4 linked regions of the Drosophila melanogaster genome follow. Changing the gene in region 3 together with the main gene of any one other region gives a genetic interaction. Each region holds a gene or a part of one and is shown on either strand. Other genes may lie near its edges. The genes, in order: trol, Vhl, bnl and sr.

Evidence for each region.
Region 1: of bnl (region 3) and trol, changing one enhances a phenotype caused by changing the other (phenotypic enhancement), as found in Drosophila melanogaster (one study listed by BioGRID).
Region 2: of bnl (region 3) and Vhl, changing one suppresses a phenotype caused by changing the other (phenotypic suppression), as found in Drosophila melanogaster (one study listed by BioGRID).
Region 4: of bnl (region 3) and sr, changing one enhances a phenotype caused by changing the other (phenotypic enhancement), as found in Drosophila melanogaster (one study listed by BioGRID).

Annotation. Positions count from the first base shown.
Region 1 is NC_004354.4:2,542,201-2,547,806, reverse strand, and holds the start of trol (terribly reduced optic lobes), read left to right. Parts: upstream 1-2,379; 5' UTR 2,380-2,424; intron 2,425-2,898; exon of another isoform or gene 2,899-3,044; 5' UTR 3,045-3,183; coding exon 3,184-3,342; intron 3,343-5,606.
Region 2 is NT_033778.4:11,277,605-11,281,788, forward strand, and holds Vhl (von Hippel-Lindau), read left to right. Parts: upstream 1-2,120; 5' UTR 2,121-2,273; coding exon 2,274-2,810; 3' UTR 2,811-3,429; downstream 3,430-4,184. Other genes in the region: Cpr47Eg (cuticular protein 47Eg), read right to left, coding at 381-722, 791-802; CG9067 (uncharacterized protein), read right to left, coding at 1,332-1,377, 1,442-1,521, 1,587-1,674, 1,735-1,904, 1,959-1,991; CG9062 (uncharacterized protein), read right to left, coding at 3,503-3,546, 3,670-3,775, 3,834-4,028, 4,091-4,184. UniProt on the Drosophila melanogaster protein: Involved in development of tracheal vasculature. Probably involved in halting cell migration at the end of vascular tube outgrowth.
Region 3 is NT_033777.3:19,833,624-19,838,951, reverse strand, and holds the start of bnl (branchless), read left to right. Parts: upstream 1-2,134; 5' UTR 2,135-2,690; intron 2,691-5,328.
Region 4 is NT_033777.3:18,089,123-18,094,273, reverse strand, and holds the start of sr (stripe), read right to left. Parts: upstream 3,472-5,151; 5' UTR 2,820-3,471; intron 1-2,819.

The sequences.
Region 1 (5,606 bases), on a different chromosome or scaffold from region 3:
AAAATATCGTCCTCGTCTAATTCACTAGCACATTTTACCCAGGCCTTTACGTATGCAAAAGTAAACAAGTTGCCATTGCGAAACACGTGACTGGGCCAGAAAATGGGAAAGGCGAGTATTTAGTGTGAAAGTCGAAAGTCGGTAACGGAAACCAAAAATGTGCTCGGAAAATGTAAAAGTGAGTGCAAAAAACGAGGGCGGAATGTAAATGGGACAGGGATATCTTCATTGTTGTCAAAAGGATATATGGACAAATGGAAAATAACCCTTAAATCTATTATTAAGCACTTCAAAAAAATGTCATTTTCTGGATTGTCCGTGTGGCCACATTTGACAACCAATTTGACAAGTAGATGAGATCCTGTAAGTCACCTATTTCATAAACTCTTAATGTGTGATTAAATTGAAACAGCTTGTTCTTTAATAATTGAATTTTATTCAGTTAAAAACTTATACTTTTGGTGGCAAACGCTTTAGGAAAGCTTTTTTGTTGACTTGGCTAAAAGCTTTTGTGCAATGGCTCTCAAACTGTAGCTAGCTTTCGATTGCAAATGTGGCTAACAGAATCGTGTACTCACCACTCGACGACTGTGGTGAGTTCGGTAAATTAAAAATATTTTTTTTTTTTTTTTGTTTTTTGGTTTTTCTCACCGTTGATAACCTTTATAGGTTACGGACTTAGGTTGATAATTCTAATTGTTTCAGCACTTGCTCCAATTTTGATGTGATAACATTTGACTCCCTAAATTGAATGAAATGCTCGAGAGTGCACACATGTCTAAATATTAAATGATTTGAGCAGTTGAAAAAACAAGTGCTACGAAAGTCGAACAGATGTCATTGCTTTTCAATTGAAGAAAATATGTTCAAGAATCGCACTGCGACCAATAAAACATTGAAATGAATTTGTGCACAATTTTACTAAAATTTATAATGTTATCTTATCACTAATTTATAAACTTAACACCTAGGCAAAGCTCAATATTAAGCACGTATTTGTGTATTTGGTGTCTATCTAGCTAATTTCTCCAAGTGTATACAGACCATTGCCATTATTTTCAATAGCGTATTCAACAATTTTCTGCGTGTATTTTTAGTACCTTTTCTTATCTGCGAACGGAAGCTGTGGCCACTTGTGAGCGTTCACCATTTAAATATTAAATATATTTTACATTAGCAAAGGCGAAAAAGGGGAGGAACAGGGAAACGAACCTGAGGAATGGGCCAATTATTCCAGGAGATGGGGCCCTAAAAAATCGCAACGTGTCCATTGGTCCTCCATGTGGGGCGTCGGCATCCAAGTCCGGTAATTCACCCTCACGCATGCGTCATTTTCGGATGTCATTGGGTCAGGCGCCAATGGGAAGCCGCCTTTTTGGTGGTGTTGACAGGGGGGGGGGGGGTGGTGGCTAAATCGGCTGAAGGTCACGGATTGTGGCCGGTCCTATGGCCAGTTGACAAACCGACTTAACCGCCAAAGCCGACGAGCCCGAAATGCTAATATCACATGGATGTCCGTCCTGCCAAACTTGTATTGTGTTGAATATTTAAAATAGTGCTTTGCATCAATTTTAGACCGATGACTGCACATTTAAGATGATTTGCTCACATGGTTGTATGTATGTTTTAGGTGCGCCAAGAATTAATTGTCCATAAACACTAATATTCGTAGGAACAGCGAGTAAAGGCTATAAAGTTCGTGTTTCAAATACGTTTTCACTGGTGTTTGGCTTTCCTACGCGAATTGCATCAGCATTTTATTGGACTCTCCTTTTTTTTTGAGTGTCAAATTCAAAGAACTTCAATAAAAAAATGTGCGAGGAGAGCGCCGCTTTTCGTGGGAGTGAGTGGGATAATTTGCAAACCGGCTGCCGCAGCAACAACGAAAGGTGAAAAGAGAGCAAGGAGCAACGGTTTTCACTTGTTTATCAGTTGACCCAGAGAGCGAGAGCCACTTGGGCGGGTGTTGAGTAAAAAAAAATGGGGGAGGGGGGGCTTACTATCCAACTAAAGTGATAGTTACTTTTTTTTTTCTATCGTTACGGCCTTAAATGCTGCTTTAGCCGACTGGCTAAATCGCGACTACGCTCCGCAAATAAGGATGGACAGGCAGAGCGAGAGGAGAGAGAGCAGGCGCAGCTAACTCTGCGTAAGCGGACACCCACGCATGTGAGCGAGAGAGGGATAGAGGGAGAGGGTAAGGGAGAGAGAGAGTGCGGTGCATCGACGCAACAGGCTTGCAATGGCCATTAAGCGCCGTTAAACAATAACAAGAGCACGCAAATCGCTTCGGCTCCGTCGCGCTTTCGGCCTTCGTGCGTCTTCGGGCGACGCCGGCAGAGCAGAGGCAGCGATGGGAATCGCAGCAACGGTTCTTAGACATTAGGTTGCGCGCCATCGTTCCAGGCGGTCGCACATTCCACGGTGTGCTGTCCCTTTGTTTTCTGTGTGACTCTGACTCTCTTGTGGGGAGCGTTTGTCTTTTTTTTTTTTTGAGTGCTCTCACATCCTCGAAGTGCCGAAATTTTGAAAATCCCCGACAAGATATCCTGGTGATATCGGTTCAACGTTTAAACAAAAACCCAAGCCCTGCTCCTTTTTTTTCATTCATTAACTAGTGTGATCCCAAAAAGGAACCCATACTCGCAACGAATACGAATAGTGTCCATCGCGTGTGAAACGAAACTAAAGAATAAGGAATGAAACAAGAAAATAAAGCGAAAAGGCGGAAAAGCGAACAGAAAGAGGGGAAACAAATATCGGCTCGTCCAGGAGCGAACAGATGATCAAAGGGGATCATTCGGATTTTTCGAAGAAACTTCTGAAACATGACGGTTTCTCTGGTTTTTAATTCGGATTTGGTTTCACCAAAGCCAAAAAATTTTGCTGATGTCAAATCACCGATTTGCTTCCCCTTTTTCCGTGCGCGGAGAAAAAAATCCCCAGAAACATAATATCAGGATGCTCTCTATCTCTGTCTCTGTCTAACGCTTAATTGTTGCTCAATTGCGAATTAATGTCTGGGGCTTTTTTTCTCCGTGCAGTGCCATAGCCGTAACCACAACCTGCCAGCCGTTTAAAGCCAAACTAAACAAAACGAACCGAAACTGCCTTCACAAAGTACCTAAGCCAAACCTAAATAGCTGCCAAAAGAAACCAAAACCGCCGTTACCCGGAAAAGAGATGATGGGATCGCCGGGATCCCAAGCGTCCGCGATCGCGACCTCGGTCGGAATCAGAAGCGGGCGGAGAGGTCAAGCGGGAGGATCGTTGCTCCTGCGCCTCCTTGCCGTGACCTTCGTCCTCGCCGCCTGCCACGCACCGCTGCTGACCAATGCCAAGGTGAGTTCGACCCTCTTGTTGGGATATGTAGTATTATAATTATTACATTGCTATTTGAGGCCCAGGAATGCAGTTAACAATTTGATTAGTTCTATTCGGTGACATGATCCTAACAGCCGCTTACCATTCACATGACCATTGCCCATCAGCTGATGCACATCCCATTCGAGATCGGTAACCCAATGATCTCTTATTCCGGATGACACAACTCTGGGTTCCGCGACGAACTTGAACTATTTAGCATGACACACATACGAGTATTGTTTTTTTTTCCCAATAGGCGGGACAGACAGACACAAAACGAGCGCCACCAGTGATTAGCATAAAAATGTATTTATTGTAAGTGGTTTGGAAAATAGTTTTCCTCCACTCGCCATCAAATTAGGAAGTTGAGCCGGGCTTCGAGGCTTCAGGGTTTCGGAGCTCGGTTACGGACAATGTTAAGGACCGGATTTCGAGTTGAGCAGAGGCCAAAAAAATAGATCACCAAGTCCATTGGGCCGGGGTCATCATCGCAGGTTATCACTCTCTCGAAAAAACAGACGCTGAATTAATTTCTTTTCACAAATTCGGATCGAGTTCAGATGCTGGCTTTTGAATTTGATGCGATTGTGTTCGGATGGCTTTGCCAATTATTATGAGAAGTCGATTGTTTCAGTTCCAAATTCTATCTTTGTGCCTGAAGGAGGGAGGGGTCGCTGTGTGTGTGTGTGCGAGTGTGTGTGTGTATGTTTTCCACCATAATGAGCTTTGATGATAGCGCGTTATCAGCGTGTTAATGACATGTTGCCCACAGACATTTGCTTGCAATGAAATAATTTCTTTAATTAACATTTAAAATCACTGAACGTTTGTGAATGTTTCAATGGCTTTTGTGAACGGACGGCAGTACCTGCTGGACAATTCTGGTACTCTGCTTGATTTTGTCGAGCATGTCGTTTCCATTCGATTTGTTTTGCTGCAGCGCTCACACTTTTTATCACATCGGAAGTTGCGTAAATGAGGCCAAATTCGAACACATGTACACATACATACATACGGGGGCTATGTCGCCTGCTCAGGGCTTATCGGTGGGACTGGGACTGGGAGTGGGACGGGAATGGGAGCCACACTTTGAAGAAGGAACCACTGCAAATCGGACTGCAAACGAGGTCACTGCTGCAGCACGATAGCTCCATCCTCCGCTTTTGCCCATCCGGCGTATGCGTATTGCCGGTCATCGGACATTGCGCATACGATCAGGTGGCACGGTGCCCCTTGGGGCATTCGATATCGTTTATCTTGGGTTTTATTCGTTTTTAAATTGATAGCTGAACTTGACTGAAAAGCACATATGCTAGCTATCAATAATCAGTTTAAACACCATACGTTATGTCACCATTCCTTTCTTTTTGGCAAACTGTGCAACTCGCCACTGATTCCATAGTGTTTCTTGAAAGTCTGAAGCGCAAAGTACAACTCACTGCATATGGCAACTTCTGATGCTTCAAACTGATATTCGCCTGGCAAGCGAATTGTGCTGCTCTGTTTACATCGACAGATGGGTCCTCATTCGATGGCCCTTTTCCGGCTTTCCAAGGGTATCCGATCCCTCACCCCCCACCCTTCTTGGCCCTTGGCTTGTATATCGCTCATCACATCACGCCCCGTTGTGTGCCCCGATATCTGTCAAACAAACTGTCAAAATATTTGCATCATCAACAACACAACTGCAAAGCGAATAAGAAAAAAAAAAAAAAAAAAATTAAAGCACAAAACGGCAGCCAACAGATGAGAAAATATCATTTCGCAGCTTTTTTGACTCGCCCGTATCGTTTTGGTTTCTTTTTCAGCTTTTCGGATTATGTTTTCTTTGTTTTTCATTGGTCTGAAGATGCGTTCGTTGGCACATTCCCTTCGGTTTTCAGTTCTCCTTGTTTTTCGGTTTTCTGGTTTTCTTGTTTCCGTGGCTTCACGGTTTCTGTTTGTTTGTGCAACATATGGACACAAGATGTTGTACCCCCGATCACACATGTGACCGGCTGCTTGGCTGCCTGGCTGTTTGTGTATCTGCCTCATTCTGCTGGCCTTATTGAATCGCTGGGAAATGGCCTTTAAGTTGAAAAGGCGTGGATCAGTTGATTTCAATATAAGCTAATACCTTCAATCAAGTTTCACTTGCCGAATAAAATGTTTTTTTTTTTTTTTTTTTGCAAGTAAAATATGTAACATTTGTATATAGCCCAACCTCTTTTCCTGTGTACCGAAAACATTCGCACAGCGAT
Region 2 (4,184 bases), on a different chromosome or scaffold from region 3:
GGGAACTAGTCTACTTCTATTTCAAAACCGCAAAACCAGGTCCGGTGTATATGGATATGGTTTAAAAACCGGTAAAAAACGTGATTACGTAACAGTGATCCTAAAGTAACAGCTCCTAAGTGATCCTAAATCGAAAGTGAAAACTGAACGACCCCGAGTTCAGGGGCAGCATGGCGTTTGGGTACAATGTTCATCTGTCAGACCCATACATATTACGTACTAATATAATTCATCCGTCTGGTAGACCCTGACCAACAAGTTTCTGTCCGCTAATACGATGCGTATATATGTTTGTCTACTCGGTTTAAGAAGCGACAGTCCTTTTGGGAAGAAATTAAAAGTCTAGGAAAGTAAAGTTCAACACATTTATTTAACATTATTTATTGACTTGGGGGGTGGGCGGCGATGTACTCCAGAGAACGCTGGATGGCCTCTGGAATTGGTGGTGGGGTGGGCAGAGGAGGGTTGGCAGACACCACCTGGTAACCGTTGGCATCGGCGATATATTGGATGGACACTGGCACATTTTCGGGAGATGTCCACGACTGGCTTCCCTTCACCACCCACTCTTCGCCGTTAAGGTCACCCTTCTGTTGCACATTGACAGAGTTGTCCAGCTCAACAGCGTAAGCAAAGCCGTCAACATTCACTTGCTGCTCGGCACGGAGAACATTGGCATCTTCGTTGGCGAGGGCGACGGCCAACAGGCAGGCGAAAGCAATCTACAAGGATTGTAAATAACAAATCAGCTAGAATCATTAAAGGATCAATTTGCGATAAAGCCACTTACGAAGAACTTCATGTTGATTGTTGAAAGACTTGAGAAGGCTAACTGATATCGAACTGGAACTTCTGCCTGCTTTTTATATGATACTGATGCTCAGCTTACCTCTGCCGGTGGCGCCCAAGTTCAAGTCTAGAGACGCGTAGGATTTGATTTCATTAATTATGCATTAGATAAGACAAAATACATGTTTATGTGTGCCTCGTTATTGCCGTTCAGTTAAAGTTCGCATTGAATCCCATAATAATGCCCGAAACAGACGGAAGACGAGTTTGACGCGGAGACATTAACTAACTATGTGTCAACTAGCAGACACATTGTAAAGATATAATTAATTCTCGAATTATTTTTGTCAAAAATGTCGAATTAGCATAATATTTGGCTACGGCTAGCCAGCCAACGACCGGTTTGCGTATCTCCGGTGCGTATCTCTCTTGAGTCTAGCTTGGAGCGGGCACTTGGCCAGGCCACCTTGACATCCCTCCTAGAAAGACGTATGCATTTGATAAATAATTCGCTTTATTATTCGTTCAGTATTAATCTACAGCTAGGCAGTGCCGCTCATCAGTTTCTGGACAGCGCGATCGAACTTCCTGCAGATATAAAAGTAACGTATTAAGAGCAACTTATATATTCTTTAAGGAGAAGCCCGCTTACTTTGAAGTCAGCGATTCGCCGGGAATGTAAAAGGGATTGCAGATGGCATCGGTGTAGAGCAAGTGGAGATTTCGGAAGATCTGGAAGATACAGAGGGTAGGAGGTATTTGGGGCTTTCATTTAGATAGTTAGATTGGATACCCACTGCTCGAACTTCGTTTTCCCGAAGGGCAACGTTGCTGGAGTCGATGACCACTATGAATTTCACCCGAGTGTTGGTCACAAAGCCGTATCTGTAATGAAATCAACCACCAATCAGTTGCAAATTCACCAGCATAACTACACCCAAGTACATTTTGTGGTTCTCTGTCGAGTAGAGCAGTCCCAGGTACAGCTCCTTGGACTCCGGAGCACCCTTGCCAATCAGGCACTTCTCCTCCACGACGTCTAAGGCGGCGTTAACATGATATTGCAATTCCAGTTCCTGCTCCATATCGGATGTGGTCAGGTACAGGGGGGCGTTCTGTGGGGAATTTGTCATGCAATTAATTGTATTCAAATGAAAAATAAAACTCACATCCTTGCCAATAACTGCTATGCAAAATGCCATATTTTGTTATTTCTTGGTGTTTATTTGTTTACTTTTCGCGAGAGGCGGAGGCAAATCAGCTGATTTACCCCTTATCGATAAGACATTCATCGAAAGTGTGGCCAGCTGCAGTGACACGCAGCAGGAAAAATGTTACCGTAACTGATAAGAAGTGAATTTTATCTATACTTGTTGTTAGCTTGTTGTGATTTGATTCAATCCAATTCCCACGGCTTGTGCAAACGTAAAACAACGAAAATTGATTTGGCAGCCATTGCAGATCGGCTTAGCACCCTGCTGGAGATGGCGCTCCAAATAGCGCAGAACAACCGCGACGGCCAGCAGCTGGTGGGCGCTGATCAGGGAAAGGTGGAGGTGTACGTGCTGTTTGCAAACACCACCTATCGCACCCTGGATCTGTACTGGGTGTGCGAGCGGGAGCGGGAGAACATGTACCTTACCCTCAAGCCCTTCGAGGAGGTGCGGGTGAACACGTTCACCACACACAGCTGGCTGTTCCGGGATTACTACACGGGCGAACGGATGCACGTACGCTCGCAGAGGATCTTTCAGCCGATTCGGGTGCGGGTACCCAAGAGCCAGCAGAGTCCGGATCAGCTGGTTGACGTACGCAGCGAAGTGCTGATCCACTTTCCGATGAGATCGCTGCGCGAAAACTGCCTCTGGCTGGTCGCCCGCTGGCTGATCCGGACGAGCAACGCGCCACGGAGGATTATCCACGGATACCACATACCCTCGACGCTGAAGCAACAGCTGCTCAGCCTGCTGACCTGCATCGAGTCCTATTCCCGAGTGGCGGGCACGCGACGTCGGCGTTAGGAGCACACTCCTAGTTGTTAGTTAAGAGGGCGGGTAATCATCTTAGGGACTGAGAGACAGGCTTGATTTCCAAATAATTTAATAACTTTAATTGATTTCCATCCTGGTTTTCGATTTTCGCTTATTACTTATGTACAAATTGGCTTGCATAGAGCTCTTTACAAGTTGGGCTACTACCATTGCATTGATTTTTCTGTATATTTAACAGATTTCTTATACCTATGTATGTTCTATGTAAATAATTATGTATAAACCTAATGTGAAACAAGTGTGAATATTACATACATACATATATGCGCAATACTCTAGGTCTAGTTGCTTCAGATGCAAATACGATTTAATGGTATGTCTGCAGTTACTCCTTTGCAATGCTTATCTACGTGTGTCGCAAGCCTAATTGTTATAAGTCTGAATCTGAAGTACATATTTATTCCTAACGAGAAGTGAACAAACAAAAGTACTCCGGTGCACTTTTAAATTTAAAGTTAACGCTCGTACAGATTCTCCTTGAATGTGTTTGTGTTTGTCCACGAGTCGAGTCGAGAAGAGATGAGACGAATCGCAGGTTAACTCAAATATATTGCAAAATCAACTTATAAAAATATAAATTGTTAATCGATCTGCTCAATCTCGTTCTCATTCAATAATGCATCGGTACTGCTTCGGTTAGGCGGGAGATCACTTGCCAGCGTTCAATACTTGCGCGTCACGCGCTCCAAGCTATCCCCGATCGAACCTATGGGGCGGATATATATAAGCACAACTCTCGGTTAGGCAATAGCAATTGCAGAAATCAAGTATGCGTTGTGTTTGTGATAGGTGTTCTTGTGTTGTTCAATGCGTGGGCTCTCTTATTTACCATCGTAGTTGAAATTCTGTTTGGTCTTGTACTGAAACGTTAGATCGGTCGACTGCTTCCAGATAAAGTGGCGCACCGTGCGCAGGTCCATGTTGGGGTCCACAACCTTTAAAGGAAAGGCGGTGAACAAGGTCCTTTAAATGAGATTTGTCCATTTGTCTTACCACATCGTTACACCACAGTTCAATTCGTTCCTCAGCTGGCAGTTGGGATCCCTCCGAATTAGCATCGCTCTGGCTATTCTGCAGTGAATTGTTAGCATTGCCCCCACTTGGGGTAGTTTCCGCATTCAGCACCTTTTCAAGCACGTGCTCGCAGACCTTGCGACACTGAATAAATTCATTAGCCACAAGACGATCCTAAAAAATTTAATATAAATTGCGTTAGAACATGAGTTTTGTTTGCTGTCAAGGACGGCTACCTTCTTCGTTCGTTCAGGCTTGGTCATTTGCGGGTGAGGCTGCAGGAAGAACGGTATTTTGAGGAACTTGGGAATGTTCTTCTCGATCACCACG
Region 3 (5,328 bases):
ATAGGCACATTTGGCATGTGCTTCCCCGCGTTTCACCAGGCGTCAAATTCTCGGGCACAAAATGTTTTCATTCCGGTTAATTGAGTTAATTGAGTTTTGAGGCAACCCTTTTTCTGTGGCCTGGCGAAATCACTTAGGCCACTTACGAGCAAGCATTTAGAAATACATTTGAAAACTAAATTAAACACAGGGTCTAAGTAAATTTGCTTATTTCGAAGTATGCAACTTTAGCATGGCTTTACTCGCGCTTCAAGTGATATATTTAAACTCAATATTCTAAATTCAAACTGTTTAAAATTTACAATTTGGACAGATCTACATAGGTACTATTTCTAAACAAGCAAAAGCGCAGTCCACAAAATTCTTAATATGTTTCATAAATCATTTCTACACAACATAATCTAACAAATATTTTCAAAAAATTGTAAGTACCAAACACGATAGATGACACGATAAACAATATTTTATGGCTTTAATAAACAACATTGCCTTCTCAAAACTGCTACTTTATAGCAGTTATATAGTCTTAGCGACAATGTAAAACTTTGCCAATCAGTAGCAAGCCCGCACTTTCCACCGGCAACACCCACCCACTGAATGACGCTGTCATCAAGAATGACGTAGGCGACTACCCCGGAATATTTCTGCAATTTCTGTAGTGTCAAGTTGAAGTTCATTCATACACACATATGGGTATCTGCACCATGTGATTTTTTATAAGCGCCTTCTAAATAGATAAGATAAACTTGTATTCAACGAAATTCGCGCATAGCTGCCTTAACTTTTAAATTTGCCGTGTGACAGTATTTTTGGGGCTAAATTTTGGTCAACATCTAAAATTAGCAAAAATTTCGGTTGGTCAGAAATAGGTTTTGTGGTTTATTGCAGCCACAGGCAAATGAGTTGGTCAAAGTTCAAACCTTATCAGTGCGAATACAACGATGCGATTAGCACCTATCGTGAGTTGGCTTTCCCACGCGACTGATTCACTGGCAATGTTTAGCCGAATAATAAAGGGTACTGGGTGACGCTTGTTGTTGCACTTTGTGTTGTTAGTTAATTGGTATTTGTGCAAGTCCACGCTACCTGGCGAAATACGTCAAAAGCACTGGAAAAGGTCTACGCGCCAAAAAGCACAACCGCCACCAAACGCAATCCAATCAAAAACAAAAAGCAACTGCAATCTCTCCCTTTCACAATGTCTGTTTGAAAACCGTCACGTGATTTGTCGCCGTCGACTTAGGGGGCTCATTATAGTGACAGAACTCTAACAAAAATTAGTAGACTACTGTATTTTATATATATATATATATATATTTTTTTTTTTATATATAGAACATTTTAGTTGAGCTTTATGTTCGAAAGTTGTTTTTCTAGTGACAGATAACACCTTGTAGCCTACATTGTGGCCCAAAAAATTTCAGAATTTTCGGTTAGATAGTTACCATGTAACCGTTTAAGATATTTAGAGTAAGAAAAAGTAGGCTTCATAAATGATTAAGATGACTACAGTTAACCACCCCAAACACTAACAGAATTTGTTTGTTTTACTTAAAATCCAAAAATAATTTTCTAAATACAACAAATAAGTACACAAAAAATAAAAAAAAATTGATTCATATTTTGCATTTAATGTTTGAGTACAATGTTGAGCTAGTAACACAGTAGTTTTTAACCACTCATTAAAATTTATAATTTATTCAGCTACAAAGTATAAATTAGCAACGAACGAAATACAAATCTTTTATAACGGTGTTTTTGATTCTGACGCTAATGTATGATGAATCAACGAGTTGGCAGCGTTTCAATCACTTGAGCCGCAGTTTCGTCAGATCGGAAGGATGAATTGGGAATAACAGATAAACCCCATATCACACCTAGGGAACCGACCGACCACCATTCACTACAGCTGACCACCGACCACCATTCTTGGCGTTTACCTTACTCGCCCACTACTTGCTCTCACTCTCTCCGTCTCCCTCCCGCCGAACCGCACCGCATCGCACTCTCTCTCTCGTGCTCGTTCCGTCGCAAACGTGCTCGGCGTGAACGCACGAAGCGTCGCCTCATCGACAGGGTCTTTTTGCTCATGGCTTCAGTCTCTGACTAGCACGCTTGGGGAACACACAGTGAGCGGAGCGTCCGCAGTCGCAGTAGCACTCGAAGTCCGCTTATCCGCATCCGCAGCGTTTTCGAATTTTTCAGACCTACCATTCGATCCGATCCGATCCATCTGGCACATCCTAACCATCTCTAATCGTAACCCCATCATCGTGATCGCGTCCGTAATCGCTCCGTTTTAACGTACTCGATGTTCCGGTTTTGTGTGCAATCGTTTTCAAAGGAGATCGAAACAATAATCTCGGCGGATAGGAAATTTGAAACACGAATGTTCGTTTCGCAATCCAAGAGAGTCGTTACAATTTGAAAAGCCCGCAATAAAAAAAAAAAATCGTTTAGATGCGAGCAATTCGAAGATCGGAAAATATATAAAAAAATAAATATATATATATGATTTGTGCTGTGTTTGAAAAAGGAATATAAGAAAAAAATTATGAAAATGTTGAATTGTTGTTGCCGTAAGTTTTAAAGTGTGCAAAGTGCAACTCTCTGAAAATCAACGAAGAATACAACGCGTCCAAAAAAAGAATCGTAAAACTGAAAAAAAAGCAAACAAACATAAAACCTAGGTGCGTAATTTTCTGTTTCAACGCTGTTACATAAGTTCTTTTTTTTAATAAGTTTGTTGTTCCTCCAAGTATTTGTTCGAATGTTGCAAAATATTTCATTGGATTTCGGTCTTTGGAGCTTAGCAAAAGCAAGCCTAAAATTATTGAAAGTTTCAAGTTTGCCGAACGGAAAAAATATATGTTTTTCTGTATTATTAGATTTGATGTTTTGAAATACTAAAATTTATAAAGAGTTTCAGTGTTCTTTGGTCGCGCAATGTTGGGCATTTAAATAAAATATTTTGAATACGTTGAAATGTGGCAATTTGTTTGGTAACTTTCAAAATAAATTTAAAACATTTTCCACTTGGCAGCGGGCCGAGTAATAAGTGTATTTAAATGACCCACGAGGGAAAGTAATTAAATAGCAATATGTATAAAAACGAAATAAATTGATTTCAACAAACAAATAGCAAGCTAAAGCAAATGGGCAAAAACTTAATTTATATTAGTGGCATGCTAATTGAAATAATTTAGTTCATATTTGATTTGATTGATCAATACCTGTGCAGAATGATATTCACTTAAAACGTAATCTGATTGCATTTAGGTATAAGCGAATTAAATTTGATTTGCAGCCTAGTTTTTCCAAGTACTTTTCCGCGTTTATCTGCCCCAAATAAACAATTGGTAAAGCAAACAAAATGTAGCAAAATGTTTTTTTTTGCCAACCGGTGAAAGCAAACGACCTTAGGAGAACCCACTCTATGAAAGCGAAATTCATATAAATTTAAGCACACGATCTTTGGGATTATTTATAGTTTTTTTTTTTGCAAAACGCATATACATTTGCGAATCTTTATCGCCGTCTTGAAATGTATCTGTATCTGCGTATATGCGAATTGTGCGTATCTCTATTTGCAAACGCACGCAGGCGCTTTTAATCTCATTTCGCTAACTTTTTCGCAATAAACTTTTTTTCTGCTCACTCTGCGCGTGCACTTTTTGTCCTATAAATTGGCGGCGCTGACTATTATCTAACATTTGTGCGCTATTATCTAAGCTGGCTTGTTGTTCTTGTTCTTCCTGCGGATGATTTGCGCTGCGTATCTGTATCTGTATTTTGTATCTGTGTGCGAATTTGCGTTATTGCCGCACGCTAGTATGCGTCGGGTTCAACAACTGCTAATCACATGCCGGATCACAGTTTGGACAGCCGAGCGACAGACAAAGTGCGAAATATGGGGATCGCGATAAAGAATAAACTGAATGAATTTCGGCTGTGTGGACTAGCGGGTGATATCCTTCAAAATTAATGGCAGCGAAGAGTGCTTAACTCAAATCAGGGTCATTATTTGTAGAAGCTATTAACTATTTGGTATTTTCAGATTTTTTCTGGTCATTTTTCAAACTTATCTGGGGTCTAGGGAAAATATTAAAATTTTGGTTTATTACCTTTTACTTTCCTTTCATAACTTTTTTATTGGTTTACAATTGTTCCAGCAATAAGGGCTATTAGTTAGTATTATAATCAAGTTAATCTTTTTTGCTAACTTACATAAGCCATAATAAATCTTATCTTCTAATTCTAATTGTATAACTTATTAATAACCAAAAATAAGCGATAAAGATTCATACATTAATTATACATAATTGAATTGTGCCTCTTCAAATGCCGATCAAATTTTATTTCCTTTGCCGTTAAAGTTCTCACGTCACAATTTCATCAACTAAAAAATGAATATCCCCCAAGGGCAAAGAAAATAATTGGCTAATTGTTTAGTACCGCTTACGAAACGGTTTCTGGCTACGTCAACGATTGAATAATTGAAAAGACCACCGTAAATTTAGACATTAAGACATCAGTTTATGCAGAAAAACCAATTGAAGTGATTAAATTGCATGGGCAGTCCCGAATTAATTGAAAAGTAAATTTATATTTTGGTAGTAAAAGAGTTGCGCGTGGAATTTATATTTCCCCGGAGACTGTCGTGCATGCCTTCGGACTTCAGATGTCATAAAGCCAGCCAATTATCAGGTTTAGTTCTGAAACGCACGAGTTGGGTAACTTTTCGCTTGGGCCTGTGACACATTTACAAATTGTGCCTGATTGATGGGGCAGCAAGCCCAGTGGAGCCAAAGTTTGAAATACAACGATCATAATTCGTAGATAGATAAAGCTTATCGCATGCAAAAGAAAAAAGTTTTATGGCCGTGCGTAAATAGTTTTGCGGTTTGTTTTTCTTTTTGCCCAAAAGTGGCGCATAACACTCGGAATATAAAGTCAACCGAAGTCGGCGAAAGAAGGCGGAAAATGCGGGAAACTCAGTAAAAATGTAGCGTTTGTTTTAATTAAGCGTGAACACTAGACCACATAATGTGCGGCATACATTTAGAGACGCACACACACGATCGCACATGGCAACAGCTTTAGGTACACCGCTCAGTTAAAAAGCGAGCAACAAAAAGGCAAAATGAAAACGAGAAAATCGTCGCGTATTTTACTCAGGTTGTTGTTATTCTTGTTGTTTCTCTTTTTTTTTTGACGGTTTTCCTTCTTTTTTTACACATATATATATATTTTTTTTTTGGTTGTTTGACGCATTTTAAAAATATCCTAGACGCAATTGTTGTTTTGTTGGCTGTCTGTTTGTCACAT
Region 4 (5,151 bases), 1.7 Mb from region 3:
TAGATTTGTATGAAAACCTCGTTAGAATCTCCTTCTTAGAAATAAATGCGAAGCATGTGAACTTATCAGATGGCGTTACAGAAGTTGTTTACTGAAATGAAATCCTCCGTTAGCAACTTATCACTTATCAACTGACATTTGGCAAAAAGTTGTGGAATTCCACGAAAACCAAACACTCGAAGGGCCCAAATACCGAACTTTAGAAGGACCAAACAAAAAAAAAAAAGCGAAAAACATGCAAAACGCTAAATGCTAAAACGCCCCCGTTCGCTCCATCAACAAAACGGCAATTAGAGTTGCACAGTGGAAGCTAAAGCTTCGTCCCTGCGATGACATTTAAAGGTTAGAGGTTGCGAGCATCAATCAAAAGGCAGCTACACAAGTGGAATGGAAGTCCCATCCTGTGCTGTTCTGCTCCATTACTCTAGCGCTGAAACAAATGAGCAATAATAAAAATAATAATATTAATAATAATAATAACGAGGGGACAGCGCTTCCTGGAAGGTGGAAAAACCGAAGGGACATTTTCGTTGGCTGGGAAAACGAGAACAATAAGGTTATCCAAGCTGGACCTGTTGATTGCCTGCCTTCATTTCGCCAAATGTGCTCCACTTCTACTTCACTTTTCCTAGTGGAAATAATTTCCAGCGTGGGCGTGTAAGAAAATGCTCGACTGGGATGCTAATAGATGCGATTAAACGCCCACACTGTCAGATATTATTGACTAGAAGATGAGGATGAAGTTAAGGGCAGGGGCACAGCTAAATGGCAGATACGGCACAGTGGGCTAATACTGCCCATGAATACTGTTAGAATAAATGTATTCGGGAAAAAAGAAAATCTCTAAATGTTAATGTGTAAGGCAAAGTTGTGAATACTTTCTATTATTCAAAATATTATAATGTGAGAAATTAATCAATTGCTTTATATTAATCATACGCAGTGTGGTCATAAATATTTACTAAATTGAAAAGTTAAAACAATTACACTATAAACCCTATTTATTATATTATATACACTATATTACACGATTTGAAATAGTTAATAGCTGATAGGTACCCAAAGCTTTTGTACACATTTGAAGACTGATTTGAACCACTGTGCAGAAGGAAGCCAGAAGCTACTAGCATTTTCCACTCGAGAAGAGTCTCGGGAGAATGGATACAGGATGCTGGTGCCTTGCCCTTTTCCCGAAACGTCTGCCACGTGTGTGGGATGTCCTGCGGCTGGAGGCTCCTGTTGCTCTTTGGCCAACCCACCGCCCGCCAATCGATGGCAGACCAAAGGTTGCCGGTCACATTCGGATAAATATATGAATGGAATGGAAAGCGAAAAACTGAATTGAGCTTATCAATGAAAAAAGCTCCCGTTGATGTGTCCGCTCAACTAGAAGTTCATTCATAAATTTTCCTGATTTTCCGCTAAGCGAATAGAGCAGCTGAACCCAAAGAAGCTCGCCCTGTTATCCGGTTGAACTTTGATATTTCGGTATTCACAGGAGAAGGTCCTGCCTTCCGTTTCTCTGCCCCTTTGTGGGGGAGTCGCTTCAAATGTCAGCTGCTCCTGACTCCATTTAAACCGCATTATTTGGCCGGAAGCTTTGGCTGGATTCGTTACACCTGCGTGTTTAATTAGCCAGGCAATTTCAACTTGTTGCAGAAAATTTGCGGCTACCAATTGCCGGTTGACCTTATACATATGAGCAGCATTCCCCGCGCTGTGCCCCTCGCACATTCGCACACGGAACACGTGTACGTGACTTTTAACCTTTTCATGTGGCAGCGCTAATTGATTTGTTTTACGCACGTGTCGCTCTGCAGGAGTGCAAATACATATGTATCGCGTGGGCTACGCATACTAACGTCCTTCATATTTTAGGCCATAACCAGCAATTCGTCATTCAGTCAAATAGCTTGTGTTTGAGCCAAAAAGAAGTTGTTGCAAGGCTGTTCTTTGAGTTTTCCATTAAAAAAGATAAACAAGAGGCCAACAAAAGTATACTTAAAACAACCAATATGTTGTAAAAGTTTCATAAATCATTATATTAAGCCTTATCTTTGTATATTTTTATTAGTTTTAATTTTAGTTATTATTTCCATTCATATTGAATGGAGGTAAACCACGAAATTCAATTGACTTCTCGAACATTCGACGGCTTCATAAAAAAACCAGGTTTCTTTCGAAATGCAAATGGAGTCTATCTGCAAATGGTATTTGGCAAAAACAGCTCCTAAATATTAAGGAATGTGTAAATAATTTTATGCAAAATGATCTCATTCGATTCGGTTTGTACAGAAATTTCGAAGATGTGTAATCTTTTCCATCTCATTCATCATTAAAAATGTAAGGTTTTTCAATGAGACTACAAATATTGAATGAATTTTTATATTTAATAATTAAATAGAAAACAAATCTGGTTTAGCTAATGGCTAAAAACCTTTATGGTTTTGTGAAATAGGAATTTATGAAAATCACAAAATATTTTATGTTAATTACCTTTATTGAATTATTTTAAGAAATCATCCAATAAAATAATTTGGATTTACGAATATATGTTTTCGGGCAATATTCGTACAATTTATTAATAAATTAAAACTAATGTAACATGACCGTAATAAATTCGGCCCCGCTTCAATTTTCCCCATCATATATATGTAATAAAGCCTTATATTTGGCTTTCGCCCCAATTAAAGGCCATTAGAGGCCATAACCAAACCGACAATCACCCCTTTCCCGCTGTAACCATTAATATACTTGTTCAGATGTCGATGGTGGATGGCTGGGCAATATAGGCAGGGTCTACTACTACTACTACTTACCAGCTATAAAAAGGCAATCAGATGTCGTCGATTCGGAGGCAAGTCGGCGACAACAGAGCACGCAAGCGCCCAGAAAGCTGGTCTGGCTAGGGCATCAAGATTTGGGCGCGTAAATAGGCAGGATCGTTGGGATTTTCATCTGTAGTCCAACAGTCGCGCGGATTGCGGATCGCGCGACTGCGTTTGTAATTAATTACGAGGCGGGCCAAAAAGGCGAACGCACGCGCGACTCACTATAAACCGCAACCGCGATTGCAACTGCAACAACTACTGCCAACTGCGACTCTGAAACTTCAGATGGCCAAGCATAAGATAAGATGCGCAGCTGTATAGAACGTGGCCAAGTCAAAGGAAGCGACGTAGCTACTGCGATTACGCGAAAGATATCCACCGGCTGTAATCGCGATCTCGTTGGCTAGCGAAGAGTTGGCAACTAGTTCCCGGCTTCTTCGGTGCAGATTATGCAATTTTGATTTGAAACACGCAATTTGATGGGCTAGTCGAGATATTGGGCTACGGGCTATCTTTCGGCTTAATTCGCTTAACGATCTCATGCACAGGGCGCGTAAATCGGGGCTATAAGATCCCCTGCTCTTTTTTTTATTCTCGAATTTATTGTGCTCAACTTATTAGACGATAATTTCCTTCCGGTTGCGATGCGTTTTTTTTTTGCGATTCAATCCGTCGTCCGACTGTCGGCGGTATTAAAAAATACGGTTTGCTTCGCTTTGCAGCGCTGCCTTGACTGTTTTGCCTCGGTTTCACTGTATCTGTACCTGTACGTGGCTTTGTATCTGTATCCGTTTGCGATGGCAGTGTGTGAGTGTGTGGCAGTCGTGGGCTGATCATCGCCTTACTTAGAGATCTGTCGCCCAGTTGAGATGCCTCGTCTGAGTGTTGTTGTTGTTGTTCTTGCTGCCGTGTGTGGGCACAACTGTACATGCGGACGGGCTAAGCTAGCCGTCCTCGTCGCACTCATGACCGGGGGATTGCCGGTGGGGCAACGAACAACGAACAACAAACAACAAACACCACAAACCACACACACAACCCCCGCAACGCCTCAAAGTGCTTTTCTCTCTCGCTGAGCTTCTATCGCCTAGCATAAGGCTGTAACACCTTTGGATTACTCTTAAGCCGTTTTCCTACACTGAAAAGAAGTGTGAGTGTCAAAAATGTCCTGCGTGCCTTCATCTTAGTTAAACTAAATAATTGGTATTTCTAAATCCTCTTCAGCTGTTAGTAAACCAATATATGTAATATTTTCATTGACATTAGAAGAAGTGTTTTGTAAATAGGAATTATTTATTTATCAATAATCTTCATTTAAGTCATCTTAAATTGTTTTCAGTGCACCGGAACGTGCCAAGTTCTACGAGTGGTTGTGTGGGCTTTCCTCGGTCTAAAAGCCCACACATTTAGCCAACACTCTTGATCGCAACCCTCTTAGTAGAATCAAAACCCCCTCCACGTGTGCAAAACCCTTTCATAGGGATACTTGTAGAATCTGCGTCATTCAATGCACTTGTGCAAACAGACATACATATGTACATACATATTTTAGCCAGGATTTTTACGGATGCAGTAAACTTTAAGGGTTTTCCTGGAATCGAAATCCAAATTCGTCTATCAATCCTGAAAGCTTTTGCTGGAAAGCTAGTCAGCTAAAAATAACACCAACGAAAGCTAATTGGCTGAAAAAAGCTTGGGCCCCCTTAGAAAAAAGCTTTAGAGGCAACAGCACCCACAGAAACGCACACCCACACACAAAAAAAACGCCAAACACACATACACACACACACACATGTGTATATACAAAGGGGTCACGTGGGTGGTTTCATTGATAAATTCATACTTTTACCTCTCGCTCTTTCAGCTGACTGCAAATTGAATTGCAAAATACTGCAGCTGTGCTCGCAGAAAGAGACAGAGCGATAGAAAGGGTGCAGGTGGAGAAAGGAAGCGGAAAGAGATGGAGCTACTGGAAGAGAAAGAGACAAGGACAGAGCCCCTCTGTGCACTGCTCCACTTTAAATAATGTGGGTGTGGATCAAGCCCGGCATTAGATTGTGAATGAAAACTCGAAAAGAGACAGCGAAACGCGGCTAGAAAGAGACGGAGAGCCGAGTTAAAAACGCCCACCAAGCTCACCTTACACAGACACACACACACACACACTCGCACTTTGGCTTCTAATCATATTCATATTTTACCCCCCCCCCCCCCTTCACAACTGAAAACTCGAATTCATTCATTCACAAAATGCTTATATATGGAAACTTGTCAATTAGTTCAAGTGTCTTACACTGAGCGAAACCCAAGTCCCAAGTCA